Linked DNA regions of Nothobranchius furzeri. The protein of the gene in region 2 interacts with the protein of the main gene of each other region in a pairwise test. Links are inferred from orthologs where the notes say so. Each region holds a gene or a part of one and is shown on either strand. Other genes may lie near its edges.

Evidence for each region.
Region 1: the proteins of bnip3lb (region 2) and smco4 interact in binary tests that used the Homo sapiens proteins (3 or more experiments, as listed by UniProt). The two-hybrid records come from large-scale screens. The link is inferred for Nothobranchius furzeri from reciprocal best matches to the Homo sapiens genes BNIP3L and SMCO4.

What each region holds. Positions count from the first base shown.
Region 1 is NC_091753.1:61,339,700-61,342,057, reverse strand, and holds the end of smco4 (single-pass membrane and coiled-coil domain-containing protein 4), read right to left. Parts: intron 1,332-2,358; 5' UTR 1,295-1,331; coding exon 1,115-1,294; 3' UTR 630-1,114; downstream 1-629.
Region 2 is NC_091746.1:40,539,157-40,542,993, forward strand, and holds part of bnip3lb (BCL2 interacting protein 3 like b), read left to right. Parts: intron 1-535; coding exon 536-685; intron 686-3,837.

The DNA.
Region 1 (2,358 bases), on a different chromosome or scaffold from region 2:
ACGGCAATTCATGTTTTGTAACATGTAACTTTCATTTTGTAACAGGTAACTTTGGTTTTGTAGCATGTAATTCTCATTTTGTAACGCAATTTTGGTACGTAACATGAAACTTTTATTTTGTAACATGCAGAAAAAATTCAAAGTACTATTTCAAATCATAACTTTCAAAACACAAATCTCAGTCTACAGTTACAAAATTCAAGTCTACAAGTACAAAACATTATGTTCCTATTCTAGCTTGCTTCCAACAGAAATTGTCTTCGAAAAGGAACCCAAGACTCATGATTGGCTGGTCAGACAATGCCTCTCATTGGTTCTTTGGGAAGGAAGCTAGAATTGGGACAAAATGTTTAGTACTTGTAGACTTGAGTTTTGTAACTATAGACTGAGATGTGTGTTTTGAGAGTTGTGATTTGAAACTTGTACATTGATTGTTTTCTGCAAGTTACTAAATGAAAGTTTCATGTTTTGTACCAAATGCTACGTGTTACAAAACAAGAATTACATTCTACTAAACGAAATTTACAGTTACAAAACATGTTACAGATTACAAAGCTTGGTACAAGTTAGATGTACTATTATTCCAATCCTAGTTCCATACTTTGGACCTCTGGAAGAAAACACAAAACTTTCTTTCAAAAAGTAATTTATTATAATCTGTTAAGGCACCTTGATACAACAGAACATTCTCTGTTTAGCTGAACTGTAAGAGAAACGGGTGAACATTCACACCAGTAAATCCACATCTTGCTGGATTTAAGAGGAAACTTTGTCAAAAGTCGAGTTGTACATGACTGAGTAGAAAAGTTTACATTAACACTTAAGTACAGTGTTTTTTGTTAACATTTTAACAAGTGTAATCAAACTTGTTGAGCTGTGCATATCCTTTGGTATAGAATATTGATTGAGATTTGAATATGTCATAAATAAGTGATCTCATCATTCACGTACGAAGGCACTGAAGAACAGCCTGAATCACGTTCAGACACTCAGCAGAAGAGATGACGTCTGATAGATGCCTGAAGCATTTTGAGGACAGCGGTGTCATGGGGGGTCCATTCTTTGGGTACAGCCTCTGTTATGTTCTCTCACCCTGAAGTTTTAGTTCTACCATTCACTCGATGGCACCTGGCCTGGTGGCTACATAGACGAAGAGGATGATAAGCAGCACCACTACAGCCAGGGTAGGAACCACCACGGTGGCCACCTGCTGTCGGGCTTCCTGCATCGCCTGCTTCCGCTCCTTCTTGTCTTTAGATGTCTCCTTTTTAGGTTTGCCTTTGAGCTGCCTCATGATGCTTCAGCGATGTCTCCGTCTGCTTTAGTCACACCTAAGTAAACGCAAAACAGCATACAAGTTTTCTTTGAGTAAACTGCTGAGCTTAAAGAGCAAGTTACCCCCTACCAGAGTCTAACTCCACTCCCACTTCATGTTTGAAAAATGCAACACATGCTGTTGCCTGGCAGACCGAGAGGGCGGAGCCACTAACAAATACACACACACTCACGACAGCATAGTGACATCATAATGTACCAGTTTACATCATAGCATACCTCTTAGCCAATAGCGGTGGCAGATTTAAATTAAAATACAGTGCAGAGTTTTAACCTGACAACGGCACAACACTGCCAGTTTTAGGCAGAATATTTAAATTTGAACTAAGATGCACTGAAGTGCCAAATTATTGACGACACGTGTCTGCAGCACGATTAGACACTCGTTTATTTAGTTTATCAGCAAAAAAAAGTTTATTTGGGGGTGACTTGCTCTTTAAACTTCAGGAAAGCCTTTCAGTCAAATGCACTCACACAATTCAACTGCACACAAACAACGTGTACTATGGCAAAAGGGCTGGAAGGGTGGGAAAGAGACCAATCGGACAAAAACACGTTGAAGAGATGAAGATGTTGGCCATTTAATTATCTTGTTAATTTTAATGTAAAACTTTGGGTGGTAGTTAAAGACACTGTCTGTTTAATTACCATTATGGGATGGTCAATGATTGCCGTCCTCAAAAAGCGTACGCTCACCTAAAGGATTATTAGGAACAGCTGTTCAACTTCTCCTTAATGCAATTATCTAATCAACCAATCACGACAGTTGCTTCAATGCATTTAGGGGTGTGGTCCTGGTCAGTGGTGTGTCCACATCTTTTAAAATGGGGTGGCCCAGGTGAGGCACAACTTTGTGCATGGGTGGCACCAATGGTTATGCTTTTTGTGTTTTACCCCCAAGCCTTTTGTGGACAATGAAAAGCCTATTTAAAGGTAAATTAGTGTGATGGCACCTGGGGGTGGCCAGTCAGATTCTAAGGGTGGCATGTGCTACCCCAGGCCACTCCCTGGATACGCCCCTGG
Region 2 (3,837 bases):
AAACTCACAGGTGAAACAGTCCGATTAAAGCTGAAGACTCCAGGTGTCGGCCTCAAATACAAAAATGATTTCACACTTCAGAGTGCTGGATCTCAGGATCTATGTTCACTTTGTTCAAGTGTTTTGTCCTCCTTTAAAATATATATTAGACTATAACTGCGCTTAAAGTCCTTCAGCTGAGGGTTTCTGATTATTTCATCATAACGTAACGTAACCAGAGTTCACCTCTTAGGAAGTAGATTTATTCCAGCAGTGGCAGCTCGTTACCTAAATTACTTTCATAATATTCAAATCAACATAGAGTATTACAAAAATGTTGAGATATTTAAAGAGAAGATCATAAAGAGTTTAATGTTATTATTTCTGAAACATTCAGACATTAGTTTAAACACTGTTAGGCTCTTAACTAGTCAGTCACATAAACACAACTGGACAGACCGCTTTTCTGAGTGTTAAATAAACCAGAGGAAAGCTGCTTCGAAAGCACAGATGTCTAATCAGAGTGCACATAAAAACGTGTGTGATGTTTTTGCAGGGAGTTCCATTTCCGTCACCCTCGACGCTCCGTAACGCTCAGCATGAGGAAGACCGGCGCCATGAAGAAAGGAGGCATCTTCTCTGCTGAGTTCCTCAAAGTGTTCATCCCCTCGCTGCTGCTATCACACATCCTGGCTCTGGGGCTGGGGTAAGAGTGCCTCACATCACCTTTATGGTTGTATATATTTAAATTATTTATTTTCTTGCCATTTCAGGTTTAATTTACCATAAGGAGTGGTCTGTAGCTCAACTTTAGAGATGTTGTCTTTTAGTTGTTAGGTTGATCCAACTGTCAGTTTGTTTTGGAACAGGAAAATGAATCCCAGTTTGCCTCCAATATGTGGGATTTTAATCCAGACATGTTGTAAAATTTACTGCACTGATTTCTGATTTGCTTCAACTGAGTCTTCCTCGGTCAGAAAGAACTCTCGGAACCAACTCCATTGGTACAGTTCAAGCTGTTTATTAGCATTCTGTTCCAGTGTGTACAGATGTCCTCAATATGTGTGTGACTGTGGGTGTATAGAGCTCCGGGAGTTGACGTCACGTTTCCCGGCATGCAACAGTTCAAATCGAAACGGCGCCATATTGGCAGGCAGAAGCCGGCAGCTGGACTATTTGTTATTGTCAGAAAACTCAATTAAACAGGAAATATGGTAGATTCCTGTTGTGCCCCAGGATGCAGAACAGACGCGGACGACATAAGGAATGAGCCATCTACAGGATTCCCCAAGATCCGGAGCGCCGCAAACGTTGGATCATTGTAATAAAACGCACTAGTGACCGAGCTAAAATGAAGCTGTGGGACCCCGAGAGTAAAGGTTTTCGCTTATGCAGCGACAACTTCATATCAGGTACTTAAACCAACGTTTCCTCAGCTGTATATGGTATTTATTTTAAATGCTTTTATTATGATTCTTAGTGGGCTTCCTAAACTTATTTTGACGTGGCTTTTTCTGTCTTATTACTCATAGCAGCAAGTAAACATCACGTAAAACATTGCCTTGTGAGTTCTGCGTGCTGCCGTTTCCGTGTTTTATGATGACAGCAATTAACCGGCTAAGCTGTATTTAATTTTTAAGCAATGGTTGATCAATTGTCAGATCACACATAAAAAGCACTTTGGATTGCTATTATCTGTCTCACCGAGACTACTTACGTGTAAATCTGTTATTTGTCCGTCCATCCATCCATTTTCATCCGCGTATCCGGAGTCGGGTTGCGGGGGCAGTAGCGTGACTTCCCTCTCCCCAGCCGCCGGAGCCAGCTCCTCCGGGTAAATCCCAAGGGGTTCCCCGGTCAGGTCCGGTGTTGTGCCGGTAAGAAGCCCGCTCCGACAGCTTCTGGCATTTTTAAAAAGTATCCCAGGGGCACGGTAAGGGTCGGAGATGTTTAGTCTATTTAATTTCTGACTATATAAAACGATTTCTTCTGTTTTAAAGTGTGAAGTAAACTCCGACGAAGTAAAATCCAAGCGGATCCCGTTCATGTTCATGGTTACATCCGTGTTTGTTTACCTTTTTTGCATGCCAAAATGGCGTCTACTAACTGAGAGTCACGTGGGGTCCGGAGCTCTATACATGGGATGTGATGTGATGTGGTTATCTAGAAAATACAAATAAAGGGGAGAGAGATCAACAGACAGCAATACATGATGGTCAATCTACAACTCTATACAATGATTTTGCAACTCTAATACCATAATTTACACAACCATAATACGTCCACCAGATGGCACTATCAAGCGACAGAGACTGATAAATATCAGCTAACTTTAACAGGCTCAACTGGGCTGCATGGTGTCGCAGTGGTTAGCACTGTTGCCTCGCAGCACGAAGGTTGCAGGTTCGAAACTCGGCTGCGGCCTTTCTGCGTGGAGTTGCGTGTTCTCCCCTTGCATGCGTGGGTTTCCTCCGGGTACTCCGGTTTCCCCCACAGATCACAACATGCCCTACAGGTTATAAATTGTAAGTCGCTTTGGATAAAAGCGTCTCCTAAATGAATAAACATAAACATAAACTGGCCAACAGTTCAAAGATTGGAGACGCACCACTAATAGATCCAGTCCAGCGACTAGGATAAATAGCAAAGCAAACACACCCCCAATACACTGTAGGCCCCATTATGGCGTTGGGTTCTGTAAATCTGTACTATACAGACTAAACAGTCCACAAACGACAATAAACAACAATAGAGGACATCTATCCATGTTTATACGTGCACATACATTCAGCTCAGCTTCCATACTCACACAAGTATGCACACAGGAGGTATACACCCAGGAAACACCGACAAACACCTCAACTTTTTTCACCTGCTCAGTCAGCAAAACAGCGGGGCACACTCAGGAAATATGCTGAGGTGCATCATGGGAAATGTAGTGTGATCAATGCACCGCAAACGGGGGACTTTTAACATATGTTCTAAATATTTGTAAGTCAAATCTTCACTGAAGAGTCCCAGAGTTGACGTGGACGTCTGGAACCCGCTTTTAATCCACCTCCTTTAAGTTTTCATCTATCAGATAATGTGAGACAACTTTGGGAGGGATTGGTGTCCAGATTGTAAAAAATAATAAGATACTGTCTGTTTTCATGAAGACACGTTGTCGTTTGTAATTATGTCCTATGCCTCATGTGACCTTTCCAGATATAAAACCGGTATTTTTATAAAGCACAAGACTATTTTTCCGAACTAGACCATCAATTTGTGAAGGGCTAGAAATGAAAATATTGCCCTCTGCTACGTTCCTCTGAGAGGCTGAAGAGAGTAAAGATGGAACAGTTGATTCAAAAGATGCAACAGACAGAGACCGACTATAGTGAAATTTACTTTCATGTCTCGAGAACTCAGTTATAAAAACTCAAAGGTTATCAAAAAGTTGTCAGAGAGGACTGGATTATGTGGAAATATCGTTATTTCCTCAGACTCTATGCCATAAGTCAGCACAAGGTCTAATGCATGATGGGAGGAGTGGATGGAGCTATGTATTCTTTGGCTAAAACCAATTCAATCTAATATATTACAAAAGGCTACATTGAGGCAATCATTTTCAATGTCCACATGAATGTTAAAATCCCCCACTACAATGACCTTATCGGTATTCAGCACCAAATCACATAAAAAACCAGAGATCTGATCCAAAAACTCAGAGTAAGGGCCTGGTGGTCCTCGTCCTCGTCTTCCTCCACTTATCCGGGTCTGGGTCGCGGGGGCAGCAGCCCAACTAGGGAGCTCCAGACCGTCCTCTCCCCGGCCACCTCCACCAGCTCCTCCGGCAGGACCCCAAGGCGTTCCCAG